7 linked regions of the Macaca mulatta genome follow. The protein of the gene in region 3 purifies or fractionates together with the protein of the main gene of each other region. This does not show direct contact. Links are inferred from orthologs where the notes say so. Each region holds a gene or a part of one and is shown on either strand. Other genes may lie near its edges.

Region 1 (3,500 bases), on a different chromosome or scaffold from region 3:
ATCATCTATTTTATTAGCTGGCCCCTGTTACAAATATCATAGTCTCTGTATACTTCACTGTTCTTGATATTATTTCAGAAGTATGTGCAATTTTATATCTGTTATCTAATTTTTGCTTTTGGTTACTGGATGATCCCCACTTTTTATATCAGGAGTCAGCACAATGTGGCCACCAGGACAGACTGGACTGCTGCCCAATTTGTAGTAAAGTTTTATTGGAACATAGCCGTGCCCATTCATATTGTCTCTGGCTGCTTTTGCACTATATTGGTAAAGTTAGGTCTTTTGCAAAAACTAAAATATTTATTACCTGGCCCTTTACAGAAAATGTTTCCTAGTCTCTGATTTATATCATAAAGCCTATTGAAATTTTTGTGTCCATTTTACAAATGCCATGTTTATTGACAAACAGAAATTGTTCATGAGAGTAGAGCAATGAAATGATTTTTTTCCATTTAATGGCATAATGAACATTTTTAAAATAGTGGGAAATAATTGTCTTATGACCTGTCTTTTGAAGACATACACTTCTTTAGTGCCAAAGAGTTTGCATGGTGGGGGGTGGGAGAAGTGGGTGAAATAACATATATATTCATGTTGTGGGGAGGGGGACCAGGAGGGAGGGATGAAGAGAGGAAGAAACAGAGACTAGCAGATTCCAATTATTATGACATTATGCGAGAAACTAAAAATTCATGTTGAATAATGTAATCTCTAAATGATTGATAATGTACCTATAATAGGAAATAAATAAGCAAATAAGCTTTCATGTGTGAGTCTGAATAGTGTGGCCTCAGTAGACTAAGAAGTATTCTTCCTCAGGTTGACCTGAAAACTGAACACCATATATTTCAACCCAAAAGATGAGGTGCTTATTACCCAGCCTTGGGTTTTTTTTTTTTAGACGGTGTCTTGCTCTGTCACCCAGGCTGGAGTACAGTGGCGCAATCTCGGCTCACTGCAACCTCCACCTCCCAAGTTCAAGCAATTCTCTGCCTCAGCCTCTGGAGTAGCTGGGATTACAGGCGCCCGCCACCATGCCTGGCTGATGTTTTTGTACTTTTAGTAGAGACGGGGTTTCACCATCTTGGCCAGGCTGGTCTTGAACTCCTGACCTCGTGATCCACCCGTCTCGGCCTCCCAAAGTGCTGGGATTACAGATGTGAGCCACTGCGCCCGGCCGGGATTTTTTAAGGTGTACAAATGAAGTGCCTATCACTCTTCAGAGTAACCCACTTTCAGAACCATGGTGCCTGACAATATGTTTTACTAAAATTGAGATGTGAATTTTTGTAAAGTTTCACTTGGATTAGCTAACATAAGGTTTTATGCATGAAAATACATAAAATGTACCTGAAAACATTTTTCTCCTACAATATTTTGACTTCTCAAGTCCATCAACAAGCAACAATATCCCACTCATGAGAGTAGTGCAGTCTGTCAAACACACGAAGAGGAAAAGCAGCACAGTCATGAAAGAAGGATGGATGGTCCACTACACCAGCAAGGACACGCTGGTAAGATCCACAGGGAACAATGTTCTCTTGCCTTGCTAGCTTTAATTAGAGGAGTTGCTAATGTCCTGTGAGGGCTGTGAGATGCCTTCATTACTCAGAGTAAACCTCAGCACAGGCATGACACAGGATTAGGTAAGGTGCATTACAGTCTCAGGGTGTCAGATGTAGTTGAGCAAGCAATGGAGTTAGGAAAAAATGTGGAAAGCAATTTCAGGCAAACAAATTCATTGACCTTGATTACCTGAGATGTCTACCTGCCATTTTATAGTACTTGTGGAAGCCACAGTATGTGCTTTCAGAACGTTCCACTGCAATTTAGAATTTTATAAGAAATACTGCATTCTAGGCAGAGAATAATACAGTGATAACTATCTTATACTTCCTAAGTCCTTAACTGAGTTTTCCCTGAAGAACCGACCCATTCAGGAACATTGGAAGCCTGTATCCTGAGTGTTCATGTCTCCAGATTTTCTTAATAGTTGATGAATGAAGTTGTGTGTGTACATAAGAGAGAACAACTTGATTCACGTTTCAAAGTTAAATTGACAATTGGCTGATTTATTTTACTGTATTGCTTTTCTCATCTCTTACCTAAAGGATCACTACAGATAAGCAGACACCTATAATCTAATTGATCTATCTATAATTTTGACCATCTCTGTTAGAGAGAGAAGACTTACCTGATATTATAGGGCTCAATTGAATACCTCCTAGTTCTTTTTAGACATGATGTAATATATTTAATATATTTGACTGGCCTGAAATTGGTTGTGGAGAAGAAGAGCAGAATAGAGCTTTGGGGTCTTTTATAAGATAAAAATACACACACAACCTAAAATCCTGAAAAATATACCTACAGTGAAGAAGGACCTGATCACCAAATCATAGTGGTTAGATTTCTAGTGAGCTGGAGAGAAGGTAGAGTTGGTTGTTTGATGCATTCCCCTGACTTTAAGTTGATGTCATGGAGTCAAACTTACTGTCCAGCAAAATATTCTTTACTTCTACTCTAACATTCAGAATTTGCCCATTGCCAATGGAAGTGAGAATACCTGTTTCCATCAGCATGGCATTTCTTATGTCCTAAAATAATAATAATAAACATTGCATCTCCTAGTAAACCTTATTTTATTATAAACTATACATCTGCCTTTAGCCCTTCATGCAGTGAAATAAGCTTAAAAATGATGTTTTCTGTTTACTATGCACTTTCTAAATGCCAGGCTCTTATTGGGTGCTAATACTTCATCTTCTTTATTACTCACAACCCTGTAACATAAATCCAGATACTTATCAGACATGTGGCTAAATAGCCTCCAGAGCCTGAAATTGAGCATGAGTCTGCCTTTTCCAAAGCCCATGCACTTTCCACTCTCAAATCTTATGTCCCCATTGGGGAAATCTTTTTGTTTTATTAATGGTGGATATTTTTGAAGTTTTTTAAAAAGGATCTTGGATCTAACTTGTGTTTCAGCGGAAACGGCACTATTGGAGATTGGATAGCAAATGTATTACCCTCTTTCAAAATGACACAGGAAGCAGGTACTACAAGGTAAGAGGGGGCTCTTTCTTTGGAGTTTCATACCTCTTACTGCTTTTTCTTGGGAATGTAGAGTGTAAGAAATAGGAAATACATCCAACAAACGTGACTATTTTTGTGCTTCCTCCAGGAGCTATTTTTTTTTTCTTTTCTACAGTCTACAAATTTCTTGGGATTCAGGTTGGGACCCCTTGATTCATCTGTGAATTTTACATTTCCCCAAGGAGTGCTTCTGGTACCATGGAATGATGGGAGAAGGAGGGAGGCAAAGATTAATGAATATTTTAGCAAAGATGTGTGATTTAACTAGAAAATTAATGGTCACAGCAGATAAGCTCAAAGTAAACTCCTGATATCCACTGCATCTAGCACACTGCCAGGAGGGAAGAAACATTGTATGATTTCTCCATGCTTGTCAGTATTCACAAAGAGCACTTTCCTCT
Region 2 (4,013 bases), about 660 kb from region 3:
TCAGGATTTAATTAGGAGGAATCTCCTGGGACATTCTTTCATCAGAGCCACAGGAGACAAAAACTAAGATGAAGCATTTTACACATTTCCTCATTTGACGAAAAACACTTTAGTATTGGGACTAATATGAATTAGCACTACACTTCTGGCAAATTATCTATCACTAAAACTAACCTTCACTACAATTATTGTTTATTTATTATTATTTTTTGAGACAGTCTCACTCTATTGCTCATACTGGAGTGCAGTGGCGCAACCTCAGCTCAATGCAACCTCCACCTCTCGGTTCAAGCGACAGTCCTGCCTCAGCTTCCCGAGTAGCTGGGACTACAGGCACGCGCCACCAATCCCAGCTAATTTTTTTGTATTTTTAGTAGAGGCAGGGTTTCGCCATGTTGGCCAGGCTGGTCTGCAACTCCTGATCTCTGGTGATCCACCCGCCTCGGCCTCCCAAAGTGCTGGGATTACAGGTGTGAGCCACCATGCCCGGCCCCTACTCCAACTATTTTATGAGACAGACTGTACTGCTACTTTACCTTCATGTTCTGAGTTTCAGTTTTACCATTTGGAAATCAAACCTGGTTAAATGGAGGATGATGAAAAGAGCAAGTATAACATAGATATATTCGGAAAGATTAATTATCCCTTCCCCAAAGAATTGATTCCTACAGTAAAGTTGTTTTTTTTTTTTTTTTTTTTTTTTGAGACAGAGTCTTGCTCTATCGTCCAAGCTGGAGTGCAGTGGTGTGATCTTGACTCACTGCAACCTCGGCCTCCCGGGTTCAAGCGATTCTTCTGCCTCAGCCTCCGGAGTAGCTGGGACTACAGGCACCTGCCACCACGCCCAACTCATTTTTTGTATTTTGACTAGAGACCGGACGTCACCATATTGGCTAGGCTGGTTTCCAACGAGATCCACCTGCCTCGGCCTCCCAAACTGTTGAGATTACAGGCGTGAGCCACCGAGCCCAGCCCATAATTTTTAACAAAATCTTAAGGAACTGTAAAATAAAGGGATGAACCACCTTAACTGTGCTAAAGTTAATCAGCTCTCAATCAAGTGCTCCAGTGCTGAATAGATAGACATTGCCTCAAAGAATCCAATGAACAAGAGCAATTTAAAATCTAATTTCACATACAAAACAGGAACGCTTGAGTAGAAAGGCAAGGGAGTGACCACTAAGCCCTGCTATTTAAAAAGAAAAACCAAACAGTAAAACATACACCCACCCTTATGAAAGGAAAATCACAGCTAACAAAAGCCTATACTGTCATTTCCTGGGAGTCAATTCTCTGAGGAGACGGCTTGGTCAAATGAGCAATGGAAACAGTTGGAAGTTGTGGGGAGAGTCAGGAGTGTTGGCATCTCAAACCCTCATTTCTACCCACAAGGCGGCCTTAGCAGTAACTCCAGATTCTCTTTTCCTGATCATGGTCATGCCATGCTGAGAATGGTTTCAGTCAGGCTTCTCAAACTTGAAGAGGGATCCGAGCCTTTCTGGGAAGGCTCATGCATGGCAAATGTTGGCTGCCACGGCACAAAGCCAAGTGCAATCATGTAAGCTCAACTGACAGACCCAGCAAAGTTAGTGTAAGGCTTGTGAACTGCCTTGAAGAAACAGGCAACATCTTCTTCAAACACGCTTTTTTTCTAAGTTTCAATCCTGCACAACTCCCAAGACACTCTTCCTCGGCTTCACAACTCTTAAAAAAGGTAATAAAAGGTTTCTATTGCCATCTGCCCAACAGCATGAGCATTTCGCTTGATGAAAGACAAGCGGCAAACTAACCTGGAAATTCCTGTCTTTTTGCGAAGACAGTGAGAAAACTAAGCTAATCAGAAAGCAGACTGAAAGATTCCCTACCTGGCTCTTCCTGGACAACCCTAAAGCAACCCTTAACATGAGCAAAATTCCCTTCGAAAAGTCATACTATATACTACGGACGCATCTTCTAAGAGGTGCTGAGTGGGTGATACGTGCTGTGGATGGAGAGGATGGAGAGCCAACTCTCTAAATGCAAGTCACCGGGAAAAAAAAGGGCCGCCCATGTCAACCCCCGCGCCAGCGTTAATTCAAACGTCCAGAATGTGAAAGGACAGAGCAACGCAAGGGTTCTGTTTCCAGAGCCAGCAAGTATCCTAGGACAGAGAAGAGAAGGCGTTCACACACCCTGGGCAAAAGAACCTACTGAGAAAAAGAAAGTAGAATCACAGCAAAGTCCAGGATCTGGGAAGCCTCCTCCACCGAAAAGCAAAGAGGGCGAGGAAGAGACACCCCAGGGTGAAGCGACTCAGGATCCTCCAAAGCAGTGGACTCCAGGGCGCCATCCTCGTCCTCCCCTCCCAGAGTAGGGGGTCGGGGGAAGCTGGGGACGAGCTGGTGACAAGGGATCGCGGGGCTCGAAGCCCGAGGAGAGTCGCCCGCTCCCGCTGAGGTCTCCTCTGCACGAAGCAGAACGTGTGCGGTAGCCGCAGGCCGGGATGGCCAGGACCTTCCGGGCTGGCCCGCGCGGCCCTCACCTTGTCCGAGTCCAGGTCGGGGTCGGCCTGGCACAAGCGGTACAGGAAAGATTTCGGGTCCCGGCACAGCGTCTGCCTAGTGGTGAGGAAGTAGGTGCCGCCGACGTTGAGCCGGACCCACTTGGACACGCTGCCGGGGCGCTGGGCAAGGGCGCCGAGCCCCGCGCTGCAGCGACGGCACAGGCCGCCACCCAGCCCCGCCCCGAGGCCGCCCCGGGCCGGCGGCAGGAGCTCGCAGTGATTCTCCGCCATGATCCCAGCAAGCCCCGCCACAGCTCCGTTCCACCGGAAGCGTCCGGCTTTTAATAGCGTCCTCCGAGTTCTGTCCCGCCCACAGGTCCGCCCCGGTAGAGCGCCCGCCCCGGCGTCACGCGACAAGCGGAAGTTCCGGTCCGGAAAAGCAGGAGGCTAGGCCCGCTTCCGGCGGGAGCGGAACCGGCGTGATCTGGGCGCCAATGCTGACGGACTGCGGCGGCGACCTGCCTCGCTTTCCCAAAAGCGGGGTGAGCGCCTGACCCAGACCCTAGCCTCTACCCACACCGTGACCCCAGCTCATGCACCGGTCGAAGGAGGAGCCACACCAGCAGACGTCTACACTCTACATGCTTTTTATTACAAGACTACCGAATATACGAGGAAAATTGATCATCTGGTAACTACCCCTGAAGGACAAATATTTGGGGGGGAAAAAAGAATAAACAGATTCATTAAATGATATGATTAAATCATTGACCCAATACAAAATTTATATAATAAGGGCAGGGCCTGGTAGCTCAAGTCTGTAATCCCAGCACTTTGGGAGGTCCAGGCGAGCGGATCACGAGGTCAGGAGATCGAAACCATCCTGTCCAACAGGGTGAAACCCCGTCTCTACTGAAAATACAAAAATTAGCCGGGCTTGGTGGCGGGCGCCTGTAATCCTAGCTACTCGGCATGCGGTGGCAGGAGAATGGCGTGAACCCGGGAGGCGGAGGTTGCAATGAGTTGAGATCTCGCCACTGCACTCCAGCCTGGTGACTGAGCGAGACTCCATCTCAAAAAAAAAAAGGAAGAAAATTTATGTAATAAAGTCAGAAAAAAGTTTTAAAATATAGTTTATAGTAATTGTTCACATTTAAGGCTGTACCTCTATGCATACAACAACGTGGCCCCGAACATGAATTCAATCCATATAATTCGTATATTAGAATTTAGGCCGGGCGTGGTCGGCGCAGTGGCTCACGCCTGTAATCCCAGCACTTTGGGAGGCCAAGGTGGGCGGATCACAAGGTCAGGAGTTCGAGACCAGCCTGGCTCGGTGAAAGCCCCTGTCTACTAAAAATACAAAAAATTAGCCGGGCATGGTGGCACCTGCCTGTAATCCCAGCTACTCGGGAGGCTAAGGCAGGAGGATCAGTTGAACCCGGGAGGCGGAGGTTGCAGTGAGCTGACATCGCGACACTGCACTCCAGCCCCGGCAACAGGGAGACTCCGTCTCAAAAAAAAAAAAAAA
Region 3 (3,500 bases):
AGCACTTTGTGTCTCGTGGGCACCCCACCCTCTCACCTGGACAGGGCTGGTTCCGTTGGTCACGGGTGATGGCAGAGGACCTGTGGGGACAGCGTGTCAGTGGCTACTCGGCCACCACACCGCACCCACCCTGTGCCCCGGGCCGTGGCCCACCTTCCACATGCTCCTCGGTGGGTGTGACCCGAAGCCGCTTGAAGTGCTCATCTGTCTCGGGGTCCACCACCAGCAGCCGGGCCTCATCCTCCCGTGCCTTGATGCTGGCCACCACCTCAGCGTGGCGCAGCCCCTCCACATTCTGCCCGTTCACCTGCCGCCACCAGCACGCATCAGCCCCGCCGTGGGCCCAGACAGCCCCCAGTGCCGCGTGGCCAGGTGTGGCATCAAATATTCATCACAGCCACCGCCCGCCGAGGCAGCAGGAGGCGCACCAGCTCAGGTTCCCAGTGTCTCCCTCCTCCCTGCAAGGACCCAGGGCCCCAGTGTGGACAGGCATGGGGCCCCCAGCACCCTACAGCCCTGGTGGGCCGGTACCTCAATAAGCCGGTCCTGGGCGCGGAGGCCAGAGCGGGCAGCAGGTGAGCCCAGGTCCACCGAGCGGATGTACTGGCCGGGCCGGGACTTGTCACTATGCAGGTTGAACCCATAGCCCTGAGGTCCCTTTCGCAGGTGGCAGAGCCGAGGGCGCAGCTCCCTCAGGGGCCCACTGACATCCTGCAGGCCCAAGGGACAGGGTCAGTCCCTGGCTCCAGCCTCCCACCCCCAGAGGCCACTCCCTGGTGGTGCCGCTGCTGCCCAGACTCGGTACCATGCCACCCACGGGCAGGCCCAGGTCTCAGTGGCAAACACTCCGGGCACCCAGGCTGCCTGTGACAGAGCTTTCGTTGTGGGAACTTGGGCAAAGCCAGTTTTCAAACCCAGAAGCCTCCCCGATGGGCCCAGCCGCCTTCCTGGGTCGCTGGGATAATTCCCTGGGCTGGAGGCCAGCGCGGCACACGGGCGGGGTGGGAGAGAGCACCAGGTGGGAAGAACTGTCACTGTCGGCCTCCTGGGGCAGTTGTCCCTGAGGGCCCTGCCCGTGCGTCCCCCTGCCCCGGGCTCTCCTCCAGAGCGTGGGGCAGGCGCTCCTAGGCCAGCAGTTTTGTTTTCTCTCCAGAGGCCTCCGTGAGGCTGGCTGCGGTGGCGGCTCTGTTTGCTTTCACATTCCGGGAAAACGAGCCGCACCACCCCCGCGGGCCCAGCACGCAGAGGCTGGGGCAGGAGATTAGAGTGGACAGGGCACAGAGGGCCTCCTGGGGCCCGGAAGGACCCCCCCGCTACCATCCCAGGCCCTGCCCCATGTTACCTCTGGCATCCTGCAGTGGGGGTCTGGGCCAGGGGACCATGCAGGCAGGGCCAGGCCCAGTGACCAGCCCCCAGCCAGGGGCCAGGCCAGGGTGCCGCGGCGGTGGCCAGTGGCTGCCTGTGCTCAGTTAAACATGGCGGGGGCCGGAGCAGGCGGGGGGCAGGCTCAGGTTTCCAGGGAGTGCCAGGCTTGAGGGCGTGCGCAGGGGAGAGCGTGCAGGCGGGGTGGGGGGCTGCCAGGGCCCCTCCCTCACCTCCTACCTCCCTGTGTGTCCCTGAGGGACCACAGGCCAGGCCAGGGCTGGGGCGGCATGGCAAGAGGGGCACTCAGACCTCAGGAGGGCAGGTCTCCAGGCCTTAGACACCCCCAACCCCTCCAGCCACCCACCTTCGAGCTCACTCCAAACCCCAATGGACCAGAAACAGCCATGTCAGTGGCGGGGGCCGCCCTGCCAAGGGAGCAAGGGGGTCCTTCTCCACAGGGCTAGTGCCCTGTCCCCTGGGCTCGGGACCTGCCCTTGGTCTGGAATACCCTTCTCCTGTCCAGCCCGCCAGATGCCTCGTCAGGAGCCTCCTGCCCACCCTCTGAACCCTCTCTGCATGGCCACAACCCAGGCCCTATCACACCAGAAACTCCAGGGACAAGGCTGTGGCTCCTTGGCCCTGCAGGGGCTCAGCTGGGTCACATGGAATGAATTGGAGGGTGCAAGATCCCCAAAATCTCCAGGGCCCCACCACATAGACCCACCCCTCCCCCAGACACACCTGGTGGCACAGGCATGGGGCTTTGAGGCTGACCCTGACACCTGCCCACCGAGCTGCCCCTCAGGGATGCAGTCAGAGCACAGTGCTGAGGCTGGCCTGGGAGGGAGGGAAGATGTGGGGACAGGGGCCCATTCAGGAGGGGAGGTGGAGCACAGCCCCCAGGCTGGCCTGGGACTGAGGGAAGGCATGGGGACAGGAGCCTAGTTCAGGGGGGGAGGTGGGAGCATGACATGGGCCCAGGTGGTAAAGACACGTCACACGGTCACAGACACAAGACGTCCAAACACACCTGCAAACATGCATAGCCGCCCACACATGCGGCCAGCCCCACAGTGCTGGCCCGGCAGCCCTTCCCACGCCTGCACAGCGGCCTACAGGGCAGGGTTTCTCAGGGCACCAGACAGGAAGCAGGATCTGGTGGGTGTCTGGGGCCCTGAGGCCAGGCCAAGGCCCCCTCAGTGTTCTCAGGGTCACTCTGGCCACCCCTCTGCCTCTGTCCAGAAACAGCCGTCTTTCACTCTACACGGCGAGAAGTTCTGCCTATCATCAAACCCCTCATTGTCAGCAGGGTCTCGGAGGCGCCAGGCACAGCACTAAACCCTCAGGTGGAGGGGCCGCAATGGAGGGGCCAGGGTGGGCTGCTGGCAGCACATGGGGCGGAGCATGGGGGCCCAGAGAGCTGAGGAGCTCGGGCGGGGTTCATAGCTCACATTCCTCCTCCCTGCCCTGGCTCAGCACACACTTCCTGCCGCCTTCTGCCAGGCCCTCTGGCTCCCACGGGCTCTAGGCTCCCTCCCCGCCAGTGGCCAGCACAGAGCTGGACCATCCCTGGTCCCCCAGCCATGCCTGTGTCCGGACAAAGAGGCTAGCATGGGGGTACACTGGGCGCCCCCCCAGATGGTGACGCACCAGCCCTGGCAGAGAAAGGCCTTCATTGTTGCTCAGGGACCAGCCTGCTTACATCAAGTTCCCGGAGTCCCTTCCTCCCACCCCGGGAGGCTGAGCGGCTGCTGGTTCCTCCTAGCCCTCCCTTCCTCCCACCCCACCTGACCTGTACCAGCCCCTGGGGTGGGCTCCGTGGAGGGGCTCCTGGAGCCCGGGCAGGTGGCGTGGCACTCCCGGAGCGCGCCATGGCAGCGGTACAGCGGCAGTGAGTGGCAGGCGTCCGGCCGGGGTGGCCTGAACTCTCTGGCTGACCCAGGCTGCCACCCCACTTATCTACCTCCCTCTGCGGCCCCGGCTCCCCGGGGATGGGTGGAGACGCAGGGGCTGAGTCACTCTGGGGAGCAGGGTGATGACTGAGCCCACTCCCCTTAGAAGGCTCCAGCCCGGCGCCCCCCACCCAACTAGGTTTCCGTCCCAAGAAAGGAAGGAAGGAAGCTGCTGGAAGGCCC
Region 4 (3,500 bases), on a different chromosome or scaffold from region 3:
CTACAAATATAGGCTGCCCAAAAGGCTGAGGGTGTGCTTGTTGCTTCTTCTAAATAAGTCTCCAGCAGGCAGGAGTTGATGAAAGACTCAATAATCTCTGGACAGAACACATGGACTACTTACGGAATGAGCACTGCATGATGACGATGAGGTTTTGGATAATGAACTGCAAGAAGCAGGTCCTCTGATCAGTCTGTTCAGCTGCTCTAACCATTCCTGGAAGTCCTGGTTGTTGTTGCAATGGACCACAATTCTCTCCACCACGTTACCTACATCCCCCAATTATGATCAATTTGAAAACAGAAGGCAAGGAAAAACTTGAGCTTCTCCCATTCATAAATACACTTCATGCAACTAGGACTTGGGTGTGTATTTTCAGGGGTTTTCATACCTATGGGATAACCCTGTTGAAATTTCTACAGCAGAAACAGATAACCTGTGATGATAAAGTAAATAAATATTCATGTCTGATTTAGAAAACTGTCCTTGATTTTTACTGCTTACAGAAGCTTAAAAGTAGTGTAAAACTTCACTATATACAAACTTGCAATCCAAAAACGTAAGTACATAGTCCATCTAGTTAAGTCTAAAGTGGGAATATTGTACTGGTTCCCCCAGTATCAATGTTGGAACAAGATCCAATTAAGACTATTTACAACCTTTTGGCAAATACTAAACCTTAGGCTCCTTCTTGGGAAAGAAGAGGGTAAGGCCATGATCCCAGTCTTAGCCACTGTGCCATATCAGCACCAACAGTGAAGCCACTACATATAAATGACACAGGCCTGGCAAAAGGGATCATAAGCTAAAATGTCAGGGAGAATTACTGAAGCCTGGCATTATGCTCAATTTGTGAAGAAAGTTTGATGTCTTTTCAGAACTTTTTAGAAATACAACCAAGTCTTACTAACTCATGGGCTGATGATAAAATTGCTGATAAAAGTCCATATCTTTGGCTCCTCTGCCACCAGGGAACAAATGACAGAAGGGAAGAAAATTGCATTTACATCAGTCCATTTTGTTATTCCTTAGCTCTCACAAGTAGCTCTTATGCAACAGAAGATTGAAACTAATGGCAAAGCCATGGCTTTTGAATGAGAGGAGACTTCTCTGTGCTATTGCTGTACCCTAATTATCCCAGGAAATGGAATATACTTTGCCATGCCTGCGTAAAATTTGCTCGTGGCCTATGTAACTGAAAATAATGGCATTTATTTATTAAATTCCCCTTCATTCCAAAAAGAATTGGAAGTAGTTACATGAAAAAGAGAAAATTACCTACCAGTGATTTCAAATGTGCAGTCATTCCCTTCAATTTCATCTAATCTAGTCACCACCGTTCCTGCTATTGGTATTTTTCCCTATTAGAAAAAGAACATTCTCATTAATTCTGCAGTCATACAGGTCTCTGTTTATTTCACTTAGATTTGCTGACCCTCTCAGCACTGCAAAATTATGGCTAGACGTATTTTTCCACTATGTCAAGAGCAGATAATATGATTCCCTGTTCTAAATTTTAATCAGACTAAGAAAGCAAGGGGAAAATGTGGATTGTGTTTGGCTAACACACCCTAAACTATAAGATCAGGATTTACAAAGCAGTTTCCTTTTCTAATATATTTTCATAAGAATCAGTAAAAAAAAGTGAAGGCTCAGATGTTATAAAAACTACTAATTGTCAGGCCAAGATGTAACAGGCAATAGTAACTTATAATGCTCTATATCTTGGGAGTTGACTGAGGGACGTTTAATTTCCTAAGGAATAACATGCTTCTTTAGAAGCCTGAATCATGTGCTGTGACTATAATAAGACAAACATAGGAGCAGGTCCCAGCTTTATGTTTTCTCAGCAATAATGACATGGGCCTGTACAATACTGCTGCTAATTTATCTAGTTTCCATTTATGCATGCAAAACCTAGTGCATAACTAAAGCGGTGGATATATTCAAGATAAACTCATTATACTAATACAAAGGTCTTTGATCTAAGGAACATCTGCTCTTACAAGCTCTTTAATTACAATGAAGGGTCAGAACATTCTGGTTCTCCTGGCTTGAGCTTTTAATGCCATAGTGGAGATACTGCATCTGGATGGAAACCTGTTTTCATTAGCGGGTCTGCTATGTGTTTTATGTGAAATCTACTAACCTGATAGATAAAGCCACTCATCCGAGGACTTGCAGATAACATTATCAGGACATTTGAAAATAACATAAGGTACCGCTCCTCTTTTTCCTGAGAGAGAATGAACAATAACACATGAAGAACAGAATTGGACATTTTATCTGTTGAAAATTTCTGGAATCACTGCCTTATAACATAGACCTTATATAAACAACTGAAACGTTAACAATAATTTTTTTAAAAGATACCCAACTTGAAAACATAAAACTAGTTGAATTTTACTTTGACATGGATATAAACCCACAGTTTATCACTCTTCTTCCTATACATAACAATTAAATACAAATAACCATGCTTGCTTTCCATGTATGAAAGCCTGAGGAGTCACCACAGTTTATGCAGCCAGTGAGATGTGCTAGACCTGGGCACAAAATAAGTCTCCAGGTTCACAAAATGAAAATATGTTTTACTTTGAAAAAATGGCAAAATGAAGGGGTTTTCAGGTGATAAGAAATTTAGTATGCTCTAACGTGTTAAAGTCATATTCATAAAATTAACTTTAGTCATTAAGAACAAGATAATTATTGGATTTATGTAAAATGTAAAAGTAGATACACTTTTTTTTTTTTTTTTTTTTGAGATGGAGTTTCGCTCTTTTTGCCCAGGTTGGAGTGCAATGGCACAATCTCGGCTCACTGCAACCTCCACCTCCCGGGTTCAAGCAATTCTCCTGCCTCAGCCTTCCAAGTAGCTGGGATTACAGGTATGTGCCATCACTCCTGGCTAATTTTGTATTTTAGTAGAGATGGGGTTTTTCCATGTTGGTCAGGGTGGTCTCAAACTCCCGACTTCAGGTGATCCACCCACCTTGGCCTCCCATACACTTTTTTAATGGCACTGAGGAAACCTCGACACATGAGGGCTGCTGTGAGCCCCTTCAACAGATATGCAATTAGTATACGCAAAAATTACATTTAGCTTCCATGCCCAGTCATCTTAGCTGAAATTATCCTTATGCCTGTCTCCATCTCCTTCCTTCCATTTGAGAAGAGCAACCCTTCCAGGCTAACTATTCTAACAAGTGCTCCACATTCTCTCACATCTTTGTCTCACTTAGTTTTCCTCTACAGACATCTCCTCTTCTTCTCCCAGCATCCTCTTCTGTTTTACTAGCTTTTCCTCTTTTTCTTTAACATATGTACACCTCCTATCCTAACAGACCTTGGCTTGCCCCCATGTGGCTCTTTATGCATAATATCCCATTTCTTGACATTTTATTGCCAAATTACTTGCTGCCTTCATTTTCTCTGCATTGATCCATCCCTAACTGCACCCTCCTTGCTCTTGCAAAGTCATCAATAACTGCCTTCTAGCA
Region 5 (3,500 bases), on a different chromosome or scaffold from region 3:
GGAATGGGATCGTGCCCACGAAGCACGCAGCACAGTGCCTGATGCAGAGAGGCAACTGACAAGCATACGTCATAATGTAAGACATTTGCTTTGTGATACTATGGGTTTGGAATTCTAATGTCGAACCGACTTCAAAAAGTGTTCTTTGAAGGCAAATGCTCCCTAGCTAGTTTCTGCTATGATCTGGTCTCCTCTCCTCTCCACCATCCTGGGGAAAAGCCCTCTTTTCTCACCTCAGTGATAATGGCCTTGTGCTGTTTAATCCTCTTCAGCTCTTCTTCACAGCTCATGATGTAAGATCTGGACAGAGGCAGTGGCTTTCCATTTCGACAGAGAACTGTTTGGCACTTGCCCACATTAGCAGAGGTCAAGGTGAAGGATCCTCCTGGGTCCACAGGGTCATGCTTGATATGACAAAGGACAGCGGCACCACCAAGCTTCTGCCCAGCAGTTCCAAGTTTCCTGGAATCCGAAGAGAGGGGGTGACACTCAAACACAGTCCATCAGTGCCAGTTCTGCAAATTCAACACGAAGACTGCACCACTGGACAGGGCCAGGAAGGAGACCTCTGGGGATTCCACTCCGCTTCCTTCATCAAAGCACACACTGCTCCGCCTCTTTGATGAAAAGAGCCCCGGAATCCGACGCCACACACATCCACACAGAGAGGCTCACAACTGGGAGACAGTATCACTGTACCACTAAAAGCCACAGGTGCTGCTCTGGAAGGCAGATGCCCCTGGGCTGCTGTATACAGCCTGTTACCCTCGTCAACCACGCTGCCCTATCAGCACACTCCAAAGACAGCAGGAAAATGACTTCTCTCTCTCTCTGCTTCTCTAAATTCCCTCTGTCCACAGGAGAGGAACATTGAAACAACCATGCACATAAGAGCAGGTATAAACACCCTACCTCACTGGCAGGCACACGTCAGAAAAACCTGACAACCCTCTCCCCCTTCTAAGGATGTTTGCTGGTAGGAGCCTTTAAGTATTGGAGTGTTCATGCTCCTGCCCTATATAGTAAAAACTTTCTGGCCCAGTACCCTCTATTCTAGAAAACTCATAGAAAGGACATTCTAGTAATCGAATACCAAGTGCTTGTGATTTATCTTTTTAATCATGACAATTAATCCACAGACTTATCAAATATAGGAAGCACCTGCAAATTCTGAAAATCAAAAATCAAAAACCCCTCTTACAAAGCTACTTGTTCTGGCAGATTATCAAGGGAGAGAAACGGCAGAGAGGGACAAAAGACCATTATTGCTCCCATGGCCTCATGAACTCCTATGGCAAGCCCCACAAATGGTAACACCGCCCAGGCCCCTGCTGTTCCTGAGTGGCACAGGAGCAAGAAAGTTAAGAAAAACAGCCTCCTGTTTTACAAGGCCAGACCCTAAGGTACTGTCTGCTACTATCACATGTGTAAGGTAAGCAACTGGCAAGAGGAGCAATGGAAACCAGGGCTGCCTACTTGCATGCATTAGGAAATCCTGCACAAAGACCAGTTCCCCTAAGGACCCAAAGCTCACCACACAACCCATACCCTCTTAACAGATAGGGAAAATAAGAGAAACACAAAAGACCCTGGAGAAGGGCCGACAGTTTAGGCTCCTAAACTCCAACTTTCAGGTATTTGGCTCTAGACCTTTCCAAGGCAGCTCCATTTTCTCCCTTTCCTAGGCACAGTGATTCGTAAAAAGTATGGCAAGTAATCTGAGATTGGGGTTCTCAGTGTTTAATTCTTACCAGTGCTTGAGGGTGCATAAAAAGCAGACCTCTTGGGGGTTGTGAAGGGATGTGTTTGTGCTTTGGTCTGTGTGCACATGTGTATGTGTGTGCATATGATACATGCTAGATGTTTTTCTAGAACAAAAGGGTGGTAAAACCAGGAAAGCTGATGTGCCTGCTAGTTAGAACATCCTCTGGAGTCTTACAACCCGAGGTCAGGTCTTGGCTGCACTACCTACTAGCCCGTAGGCACTGTGCTTCACCTCTCTGTACATGACTTTCAGTAACATTACTCCGCTAACTGGTAACAATTTATGACACATAAGGTAAAATTTAGAACAATGACTGGTACATATTAAGGGCTTGCTGGATATTAGTCATTATTGTTCAATTGCTAATTGTACATGCTCACTGAGAATCTGAAAGTCAGAGGTGACTGTAGCAGCAAGAACCACCCCAGGCTTGCCTCCACCAAGCTCTCTGAGAGGAACCATTTGAGACGCAGGTATCACTGTAAATGCTGCTCTGAACACTCCTCCCCAGACACTTCTTCTACCCCCTTAACAAAGCTACTTGCTCTGGCAGAGTATCAAGGGAGAGAAAGAACAGATAAGGACAAAAGACCATGACTGCTATCATGACCTCAAGTACCAGTACGCTGATCACTCCTGGGTCCCACATGAGCGAGTCTGCAGTACAATATTTATAGACAGGCAATTCCATTATCACCTAGAAAGCCATGAAGGTGATAAGAATGAACAATTCTTTGAATGAGGGAATCCTCACTCATCTAAGAGTTACAAACAATATACCACAATTTCTATAGCAACCTAAAACTCTGCTGCTGGTGGAAACTCCAGGCTATGGCCTAGGATTCTGCCAGTAACACTGTCTTGAACATTTAATAAAGGGGAAAACAAAATATAAAGAATGATTTAACTCCTGAGCTAAAATCTGACCATCTTGATTTAACAAAGGCTTGCACTACCTCAAACCAGTGATAGTATTTCATAAGGGCCAAGAAACTAGGATAGAAACGGTCCATTTCAAAGAGAGGTCCCCACACCAGAAAGTCTAAAAAGCCTCCAGAGCTCACATGATTTGGGAGGAAAAATGGCATTGCAAACAATCTGATGAAAATCTGCAATCAATAAAGGCCAGTAAGGTCCAGTTCTCAGAGAAACTAATTCCTTGTCATTGTCGGAGCCTTCCACAAAGTTATATGAACATCAGTATGTCTCAAACTGGAGCACCATTCCTGATGCCTGGGCAACACCAAACTTGCCTGAATGCATCTTGGTACTCATAGTCAAAACACAGAGGATAAACACTCAAAGAGCAAAAAAACATACAGCAGGTAAGCAGGAACTCTGAGTTTTACCTTTGCATGACAATGAATGTATTGACCATGTATTCTTCTTCATTTTTTGTTTTTTGCAGCTCTTCAGCCAAAATGTCACTCATGGTGCACTGGAGAAGGTAGGGCACCTCCACATTCCGGTCTCCATCAAACACACCGTAGAGGGCTTCGCGGTTGTCACAGAAGTTATTCACCGACAGGGCTGCGACACACAACCTGCAAGGCAACCACACTTCTGTGCTGAGTCCACTCATCCTCCTGCTCCAGGCCCAGCCCAGTGCTTATTTATTTCAAGATTTCCCTATCTCAGTTTTGTCTCTTTCTTTGTGACTCCAGACAGATTAAGGGCAGGTAAACTGACTCCAGCTAATTTCTATCAGCAAATTTTGATTAGCAGAGAAGGATGA
Region 6 (4,093 bases), on a different chromosome or scaffold from region 3:
CCTTGGGCAAGTCCCTTCCCCTCTCTGGGCCTCAAGTGGAGATCGTAATCACACCCCACAAGGCCAGGGCTGAGAGCTAGGAGATCTGCTAGGTTAGACTTGATGGAGAACTTGGTGGGGTGTGGAGGAAGGCCAGGGCCAGGCAGGGGTCCTTGTGGGGGTCTCAGAGCCTGGGGCAAAGGGGCCTGCAGGGGAGCGCCTCCTCCGCTGACCCCTCCTCCCCCAGAGCCAGCTGCATCTCTTTCTGGGTTTCTAGGTGACTTGGCTGGCCCCTCTGGATGAGTTCTACTTTAAACCTGCTGCTGTTACTGCCTCTGTATTGGGGGGGCTCCCACAGGGGCCCCCAGGCAGGAACCCCCCCCACCAGCCAAGCCCTGCGGGAGGGGCTGCAGCCCCCACCCATCCCATTGCCCATGCGCCTTCCCCGCTCCCATCCCTGGAACGCAGATTTCAGGGCACCTGCTGTGGGCCAGGCACTGCAGAGCCCCTCCTCAACCCTCCTGTCTGGGGACACCCGCAAAGCTTCTGACCCCTCTAGGCAGACAACAGCGTCCCCCCCGCGGTTCCCAGCCAAGAGGCTCACAGTCAGGCTCCAGTCATGGGAGTCTGCGGCAACAAGAAGGGGGCTGTTCTAGGGCCCACTCTCGAAGACCAGGATGCTTGGGTCCTCAGAGGAGGTGGCAGGCGCCCGGCCTCCCTGGGCCAGGGACGGGGGAGGGGCGCCTGCCGGCGGGAGGCCCATTAGCCGGCTAAGTGCTCCCAGGGAGGGGGGACCGCGCAGCAGAAGAGTGGGTGAGGCGAAGCCAGGGCAGAGGGGGGCGGGAGAAGCTTTTCCTGCATTCAGCTAAGTGCGGCAGAAGAGGGTGGGCGACAGGGCTCTGCGGCGACCCCCGGCCCAAGTCCAGCTCTCCAGTGGTATTGCAGCCCCCGTCGCTCAGAAACCTCAGTGGGCTGATCCCGGACCGCCTTAAGCAGCGCCCTCTACACCCAGTTCCTCCAGCTGCTCCCCAACAGCCACTTCGGCCCCCAGCACCCTCCTTCCTCCATAGGTCTGAAGAATCAGGTCCTGCTGAGCCCCGCGGCAAAGCCCCCGACCGGTTCGCGTGCCCCTGCCCCAATCCTTGCTCCGGCTGCAGTCGCCGCCCCAGCCGCCAGGGGGAGCCGACGCGGGGCGGGCGGGTCCGACGCGGCGGGAGGGGGCGGGGCCCGGGAGGCCCCGCCCCGTCCCCGCCCCGCCCGGGCCCCGCCGAGGCTCTGGTGGGTCCGGGACAGACTGGCTGGCGGGTACTGACGCCGCGGGGCCGAAGCGGGCCGGGCGGTGGGAGCAGCGGCGCCGTCAGTCCCCGTCAGGGCTCCGTGGGTCCCCGACCCGCCCCTGGCCCGGCCATGGCGGGCGCCCAGCCCGGCGTCCACGCGCTGCAGCTGGAGCCGCCTACCGTGGTGGAGACCCTGCGGCGCGGGAGTAAGTTCATCAAATGGGACGAGGTAAGCGTGCGGGCCCCTGCTCCGCGCCGATCCCGGGACTCTTTCTGTCAAGCTCGACCAGTCGCTGGGGACCCCTACCCCAGCCTCGCCTGCCCGTGGCGCCACCCTCATCCCAGCCTGGCGGCGCCCCGGAAACTTAAGTCCCCGATCGTCTCCGTAATGAAGACTTTGTCCCCCCAACTCCCAGTCTCTCAGCTCTGGAAAACTGGGCTCCACTCCTTGGCGCAGAGACTTTGAACCCCAATAAACCCCGTTCCCCCGTTTTCATTCGCCCTTCCCACCACTCCCTGCCAGACTAATTCTGGTTCCCCGATCCTGGCCTGGTCCCCAGACCCCTGCCCAGCACTAGACTCCCCGGCTGCAGGACCCTGACCTCCAGGCTGGCTTGGGGCATCCTCATTCTGGGTGTGTGCCAGGGCGTCCCTACTCTCCCCGGTGCCCTGCCTGAACAGTCCTCGTCCATTCATCATTTTTCCCCCTATTCTGGTTGGCACCCCTTCGCCCTGCTTCTAGATCCCAGCTCAGCTCCCTGCTCAGGTGGGAGCACCCAGTCACCCCCTAGGGAAGACTTTGACCCCCAAGTTCCTCCACCTCTGGGAACTTTGCTCCCCACTCCTTAGGCTTGGGATCTTGAACCCCAATACATCCTGGCCCCCCTTTCCCTGTCCTGCCCCTGGTGCTTCCCAAATGCCCGTGTCCCCACCTTTGGCTGCCCATCCCCATCCTGGGTCCCCTCTTCTGCCCCCTGGGCCTCTCCTTCCCCAGGGCCTCCACCCGGCCGGCCTGAGCTTCCTCTCGGCTCCTTCCCAGTCAGGCCACGGGCCTGGAAGACTCTGGGCTCTTTTCCGGCTGGGTGGGGCCCCGGGGTAGGCGTGGGAGCTGGGGGGAGGAGATGGGGGCGTGGCCCGAAGCGGCAGGTGTGTGAGGAGGGGTGCCTGGGTGCTCCAGAGGCTGGGGGAGACCCCTCCCCCCAGGCTGGCCTGAAGGGAAAAGTTTCTTCTTTTCTTTCCACTGTGATAAACCCAAATAAGGAAGTGGGAACAGGGAGAGGGCCCTGGGGGTGGGGTGGGGGGTGCGGACAGAGGCTTGGGGCAGGAGAGCAGGGGTCCTGGGCTGTCTTCGAGAGCCAGACCTCTGGGGAGAGGCTGGGGGGAAACCCGAGGGGCAGGACCCATAGACTCCCCTCCCCCCTCCGCACACCACTGGGGGGCCTCAGACTCAATGTAGGGTTGGGAATCCCGAGAGGGGCTCGGGGCTGGGTGTCAGCACACTGAAGTGGGGAGGCCTATGCATCCCCAAAGTTTTGAGGCCTTCTGTCCCTTCTGTTCCCAGATGAACACCCATACTTTGTAAGCAAAACCTGCCATGGGTGGGGCTGCTGCAATCCCCATTCTCCAGAAAAGGAAACTGAGGTCTGGAGAGCAGAGACTTATCCCAGGCCCCACAATGGGGTGGGGCTGAGGCCAGGAGCTGGGAGTCTCCGATCCCTGCTTCCCAGGTCACAGGACGCTGCAACCACACTGCCTGCAAGCAAGTCCTGGCTCCAATGACCTCGGGCAGGCTACGAAGTGTGCCTGTAACTAAGTGTCCTCATCTGTGAAATGGGAGTGACAACAGCACATCTCTTAGGCTGGTTAGGGGGCCTTTGTGTGCTCGAAGATGCTAGGTGCATAGAACTGTACCCGGTGTGCAGTAGGGGCGACGTGTGTATATGAGATGTATTGATAATGACAGTATTGTCCACCAGACACTGAGCAGCTGTTTAGGGGTGGTGCCCAACATGAGGTGGGGTCCTTTTCTGGCTGGAAGAGCCTGGAATAGGAGGGTTCTACCTGTAGCCACTTGGTCAGTCTGGCCCTGGCTGAGTCTAAGCCCTGGAGAACAGTCCCTCTGGCTGCTGGTCCTGAGTCACACGGGGTGGCCCTGGGAGTTTGCCAGGGACCGGGCCCTTCTCAGAAAATGGTGCTGGCATGCACTTCCCTGCCCCCTGCCAGCTGCAGGGCTGTTTGAGGGAGGAAGAGCTCACTGCCCTGTCCTGAGAGTAGGGCGAGTCCCCTTCTAGGGGGACTGTTCTTCTGTAAGATGGGATGAGCTTTGAAGCTGTGAGGACCCCGGCAGATGTGGTAAGGTGAATAGTGGACTTTGAGGCAGACCAAGGGGTCATCGTGGTATCCCAAGGGATGCAGAAGGGCAGTGGGAGTCAGACTTCTCACTTTCATGCCTTAAACATTCTGTAGTGGGGTGAATTAGGGGGGCTGTCACCGTCACAGAGCTCTCAGCACTTCTGGGGAAATGGAGTCCAGGATGGGGGCTGGGGAGCCCTTCCAGGTGTGACACTGAATGTCACACCTAGGACCTTGGCTTTGTTCTGAGGGCCACAGGCAGCCACACAGGACCTGTGGACTGGATGAGGTTTTGTCTTAGCTCACGGGCAGGAACTCTGGGGTGCATGATGGGAGAGCCCCAGGGGCCAGGCCTGCACCACAGCCCTCACTCCCTGACCCCTGCTGCCCTGTGCCGCCCCCAGGAGACCTCCAGTCGGAACCTGGTGACCCTGCGTGTGGACCCCAGTGGCTTCTTCTTGTACTGGACAGGCCCCAACATGGTG
Region 7 (4,088 bases), on a different chromosome or scaffold from region 3:
CAGACCAGCCTGGGCAATATAGTGAGACCTCATCTCTACAAAAAATAAAAAATTAGCCAGGTGTGGTGGCACATGCCTGTAGTCCCAGTTACTCAGGAAGCTGAGGCGGGAGGATTGCCTGAGCCCTGAAGGTCGAGGCTGCAGTGAGCTACAATGGAGCCACTATAGTCCAGCCTGGGCAAGAGTAAGACCCTGTCTCTAAAAAAAAAAAAATTTCGAAATTTAAAAGTATGGGCCGGGTGCGGTGGCTCATGCTTGTAATACCAGCACTTTGGGAGGCCAAGGCGGGTGGATCACAAGGTCAAGAGATCGAGACCATCCTGGCCAACATGGTGAAACCCCATCTCTACCAAAAATACAAAAATTAGCCAGGCGTAGTGGCATGCACCTGTAGTCCCAGCTACTCAGGAGGCTGAAGCAGGAGAATCACTTGAACCTGGGAGGCAGAGGTTGCAGTGAGCCGAGATTGCGCCACTGCACTCCAGCCTGGGTGACAGAGCGAGACTCAGTCTCAAAATAATAATAATAATAATAATAATAATAATAATAATTTAAAAATACATATAGATTAAAAAATAATTTAAAGGCTTTTTGTTAAACCAGGCTTAGCACTGCTAAAAACTTTTTTTTTTTTGAGATGGAGTTTCAAAAAACTCCACCTCACCTGGCTAATTTTGTATTTTTAGTAGAGACGGGATTTCTCCATGTTGGTCAAGCTGGTTGCCAACTCCCAACCTCAGTTGATCCGCCCGCCTCAGCCTCCCAAAGTGCTGGGATTACAGGCGTGAGCCACTGCACCCGGCCAGCACTGCTAAAAACTCTCAAGGGCTTCCCACGAAACTCAAAATATGACTCCTGTCTGTGCCCCTTAAGGCCTTGCCGAACTCTCCTCCTCACAAGCCCGCTTTCCTCTTTAGAGGCTCTGGCCTGGTACTGCCTTTAGGTTTTTACTTTGTTTCCTCTGCCTGGAACTCTCTCTGTTCCTATCCTCAGCATTCAGGCCTCTGCTCATATATGACCTCCCTGGAGAACATTCCCCACCTAAGTCTTCCCCCTATCACCCTCTATCAGGTAGCTTGTTTTGTTAATTGCTTCGAAGCGTCTTGTGGGAAACAGGGGGAAGCAGGGTGCCTGAGGGCCCCACTCACCCAGGATGATGACGACAGTCTTGACCAGGCTGAGCGTGGTCTCTCGGTAGCGCGGGTGGCAACTGACGTGCTCTGCCATGCGCTGCACTCTCCGCCGCACGTAGAAGAAAATGCGGGTGTAGACAGCCACCATGAGAAGAAAGACAAGCAGGCTCGACAGAGCCCAGACAGCCAAATAGGAGCGGCTGAGCAGGGGTGCCATGCGCGAGCAGCGGTCCAGGGCACAGAGGCAGTGCCAGGAGTGGGCGGGCAGCAGCCCCAGGCCCAGGGCAGCCACCCACACGCCCACAATGAGCATGACCACGCGGCCACGGGGCAGGCGGCTGTGCAGCTGCACGGCCATCACACTGCGGTGCCGCTCCACAGCGATGGCCAGCAGTGTGGCCACCGACGCAGTGAGGCTTGTGTCCAGCAAGCCCTGCCGCAGGAACCAGCCCTCAAGTGAAAGTCGGGCTGTGCGGGGACCAGTGTGGAACATGAGGAAGAGGTAGGCCACCCCCGCGAAGAGGTCAGCTGCGGCCAGGTTGCCTAGCAGGTAGTAGATGGGCTGGTGGAAGCGGCGGTTGGAGGCGATGGCTGCTATGACCAGGAGATTGGTGAGCAGCACCAGTACGCTGACGGTCAGCCCCAGTGCCACCACGACCACATCCTTGGGCCGCCAGTGAGAGCTGAGCTCCTTGCCACTGTTGTTATAGAAGAAGCCAATGGTCTCGTTGTAGTAGCAATGGCCCATGGTGACCATCTGGGGACACAAGAGATCAGTGCATGTGGCGCTTCTTGGAAGGACACAGGGAGGGGCGGCAGCTACAGAGGACAAGGAAGGACAAGGGTCTTGAATTCAGATGCCTCAGAGCAAAGTGGCAGTGGTGAGGACCACGGTAGCCTGGAAAAAGCAAGCTCCATGGGGCTGGGGTGGGGGTGGAGGAGCTGCTGTTTCTTACCTACTAATAAGACCTGTGTCAAGACATAACCCAAGTCAACAGGGTTTTGAACCAGAAGAAGTGAAACAAAACCCATGTATGGTCGAATCCCAGCCCACCTGCCGCCAATGTGTGACCCGGTTTGGGCTGTAGGGAGAGGCAAGACAAAGGGGTGTGAGCTGCGGGACGAGATGAGGGAGGGTCACTTAGGTGCTGGAGTCAGTGTGGGGAGCAGAGACCCGGGAGCATGTGCCCACAAGAGTGAGGTCACTTGCTAGGACCCTGCGAGGGAGCGTTGCCGAGGCGTGGAGGTGATCAGAGTGGACAGAGAGTCGGTCCCAGAAGTTGGTCTGCCGGATTTGGGCGCGAGTGCTTCCCAAGCGGGCGGGGCAATAGGCTGTTCCGGGTGGGACGGAGGACACTGGCGGTCTCCGGGACAAAGACAGCGGTTGGGGAAGGGACAGCTGGCCGGGCCTCCAGGCGTCTCCAGACTGGGGAAGGGGTAGGGGGTTAAGGGATCAGGGGGCTGCGTCCTGGCCCCGCAGGCACGTGCCGCGCCCTTCCCCCGGGCCCAGGCCCGCACCCGCCCGCCTCCCGTCCGTGCCGGCCTCACCTGGGCCTCCCGTCACGCCGCAGATAAGGCGGGCTCGCGGGGGTTCGGGGCGGGCTCGAGGCCCATGGCCCGGCGACCGCGGCGGGAGCGGTGGAGCGTCCGGGTGCGCCCTGCGTGGGCTGCTGAGAGGGCGCGGGAGGCGGGGTCTCCCCGGCGCCCCGCCCCTGCCACCTGGGGGAGTCCCGCCCCGCCACCTGGGGGAGCCCCGCCTCCGCGGCCGCGTCGGGGGCGGTGTCGCCCGGAACCGCAGCCCCCCTATTTCCTCCCCGCCTCGCGGCCCCTCGGTCGCCTCTATTTCCGGCGCGGGACCCCCACCCCGGTCCCTGCACACCTCACGCGCCCGCAGTTTCGAGCCTGCGGGGCTGAGTCACCCGGCGACCCCAAAATTCCCGCCGCGACTCCGCGCAGCCCGGGCGGAGCTCCAGGTGGTCTTGGGTCCGCGCCCCTTCTCCGGACCCCCAACCCTCCCAGCCCCACCCCGCTCTCTTCTTCGTGTCCAATGGGCCGCCGAGTTACAAGCCACTCCCTGATCCGACTTGGCTCCCACCGCCCGGACCCCCGCCCATCCTCGGCTTTCCCAGCTCGCAGCTACAGCGCGCCGCGGCCTCCTGTGCGAGGCCCACGCCTGCGGCCCCAGCTGATCATCGGGCGCAAGCTAGGGTTTTGCAATCCCGCCCCCGTACCCCTCACCCTGGGACAGCGCTGCCCCCTGCAAAGCCCGGCCCTGCCCTGCCCTGTGGCTTCCTCCCTCCGCCTCTCTGCGGCGGCCCCGGGCTCCCACGGTCCGGAGCACACAGCCCCATTGTCCCGGTTATCTGCACTTTGTTATACTGTATTTGATTATGCAGGACCAGATCGGGGACGCAGAGCTCCGGGAGGGCCGGGCTGGCGTGACTCAGCCGGGTGCTGCGGCCCAGCCCCAACTGCCTTTAGGTAGATGCTGCAGGGTGTTTGATGATGCAAGAAGGAGGCCTTGAGGCCGGGCGCAGTGGCTCACACCTGTAATCCCAGCATTTTGGGAGGCCGATGCGGGCGGATCACGAGATCAGGAGATCGAAACCATCCTGGTCAACATGGTGAAATCCCGTCTCTACTAAAAATACAAAAAAATTAGCTGGGCGTGGTGGCGTGCGCCTGTAGTCCCAGCTACTCGGGAGGCTGAGGCAAGAGAATCGCTTGAACGCGGGAGGCAGAGGTTGCAGTGAGCCGAGATTGCACCACTGTACTCCAGCCTGGGCGACAGAGAAAGACTCTGTCTCAAAAAAGAAAAAAGAGGTCTTGATTCCCGTGATCGGTAAAACGGGGGAAAGGAGTGCTGCCCGTGCTGGCCTCTCCCCTAGCAGAGATGCACCCAAGGGCATACAGGACAGAGTTTATTAGAGGCCATCAGACCCCAGGCACCACCAG

The links.
Region 1: the proteins of NHERF2 (region 3) and PRKD1 purify together in Homo sapiens (affinity purification with mass spectrometry; 3 studies listed by BioGRID and IntAct, with this or other methods). This does not show direct contact. The link is inferred for Macaca mulatta from reciprocal best matches to the Homo sapiens genes NHERF2 and PRKD1.
Region 2: the proteins of NHERF2 (region 3) and KCTD5 purify together in Homo sapiens (affinity purification with mass spectrometry; 3 studies listed by BioGRID and IntAct, with this or other methods). This does not show direct contact. The link is inferred for Macaca mulatta from reciprocal best matches to the Homo sapiens genes NHERF2 and KCTD5.
Region 4: the proteins of NHERF2 (region 3) and ARHGEF6 purify together in Homo sapiens (affinity purification with mass spectrometry; 3 studies listed by BioGRID and IntAct, with this or other methods). This does not show direct contact. The link is inferred for Macaca mulatta from reciprocal best matches to the Homo sapiens genes NHERF2 and ARHGEF6.
Region 5: the proteins of NHERF2 (region 3) and PHLPP1 purify together in Homo sapiens (affinity purification with mass spectrometry; 3 studies listed by BioGRID and IntAct, with this or other methods). This does not show direct contact. The link is inferred for Macaca mulatta from reciprocal best matches to the Homo sapiens genes NHERF2 and PHLPP1.
Region 6: the proteins of NHERF2 (region 3) and PLCB3 purify together in Homo sapiens (co-immunoprecipitation; 3 studies listed by BioGRID and IntAct, with this or other methods). This does not show direct contact. The link is inferred for Macaca mulatta from reciprocal best matches to the Homo sapiens genes NHERF2 and PLCB3.
Region 7: the proteins of NHERF2 (region 3) and LPAR2 purify together in Homo sapiens (affinity purification with western blotting; 3 studies listed by BioGRID and IntAct, with this or other methods). This does not show direct contact. The link is inferred for Macaca mulatta from reciprocal best matches to the Homo sapiens genes NHERF2 and LPAR2.

The regions. Positions count from the first base shown.
Region 1 is NC_133412.1:102,740,786-102,744,285, reverse strand, and holds part of PRKD1 (serine/threonine-protein kinase D1), read left to right. Parts: intron 1-1,393; coding exon 1,394-1,517; intron 1,518-2,991; coding exon 2,992-3,069; intron 3,070-3,500.
Region 2 is NC_133425.1:3,916,805-3,920,817, reverse strand, and holds the start of KCTD5 (BTB/POZ domain-containing protein KCTD5), read right to left. Parts: upstream 2,801-4,013; 5' UTR 2,774-2,800; coding exon 2,522-2,773; exon of another isoform or gene 471-2,521; intron 1-470. UniProt on the Homo sapiens protein: Its interaction with CUL3 suggests that it may act as a substrate adapter in some E3 ligase complex. Does not affect the function of Kv channel Kv2.1/KCNB1, Kv1.2/KCNA2, Kv4.2/KCND2 and Kv3.4/KCNC4.
Region 3 is NC_133425.1:3,260,971-3,264,470, reverse strand, and holds part of NHERF2 (Na(+)/H(+) exchange regulatory cofactor NHE-RF2), read right to left. Parts: intron 3,297-3,500; exon of another isoform or gene 3,239-3,296; coding exon of another isoform or gene 3,158-3,238; intron 712-3,157; coding exon 532-711; intron 308-531; coding exon 108-307; intron 81-107; coding exon of another isoform or gene 6-80; intron 1-5.
Region 4 is NC_133426.1:143,016,716-143,020,215, forward strand, and holds part of ARHGEF6 (rho guanine nucleotide exchange factor 6), read right to left. Parts: intron 2,237-3,500; coding exon 2,150-2,236; intron 1,362-2,149; coding exon 1,283-1,361; intron 270-1,282; coding exon 124-269; intron 1-123. UniProt on the Homo sapiens protein: Acts as a RAC1 guanine nucleotide exchange factor (GEF).
Region 5 is NC_133423.1:17,915,867-17,919,366, forward strand, and holds part of PHLPP1 (PH domain leucine-rich repeat-containing protein phosphatase 1), read right to left. Parts: intron 3,310-3,500; coding exon 3,115-3,309; intron 463-3,114; coding exon 234-462; intron 1-233. UniProt on the Homo sapiens protein: Protein phosphatase involved in regulation of Akt and PKC signaling.
Region 6 is NC_133419.1:10,147,053-10,151,145, reverse strand, and holds the start of PLCB3 (1-phosphatidylinositol 4,5-bisphosphate phosphodiesterase beta-3), read left to right. Parts: upstream 1-1,293; 5' UTR 1,294-1,386; coding exon 1,387-1,485; intron 1,486-4,012; coding exon 4,013-4,093. UniProt on the Homo sapiens protein: Catalyzes the production of the second messenger molecules diacylglycerol (DAG) and inositol 1,4,5-trisphosphate (IP3).
Region 7 is NC_133424.1:20,223,593-20,227,680, forward strand, and holds the start of LPAR2 (lysophosphatidic acid receptor 2), read right to left. Parts: upstream 2,801-4,088; 5' UTR 2,682-2,800; intron 2,560-2,681; exon of another isoform or gene 2,326-2,559; intron 1,953-2,325; exon of another isoform or gene 1,891-1,952; coding exon 1,149-1,890; coding exon of another isoform or gene 1,115-1,148; intron 1-1,114. UniProt on the Homo sapiens protein: Receptor for lysophosphatidic acid (LPA), a mediator of diverse cellular activities. Seems to be coupled to the G(i)/G(o), G(12)/G(13), and G(q) families of heteromeric G proteins. Plays a key role in phospholipase C-beta (PLC-beta) signaling pathway.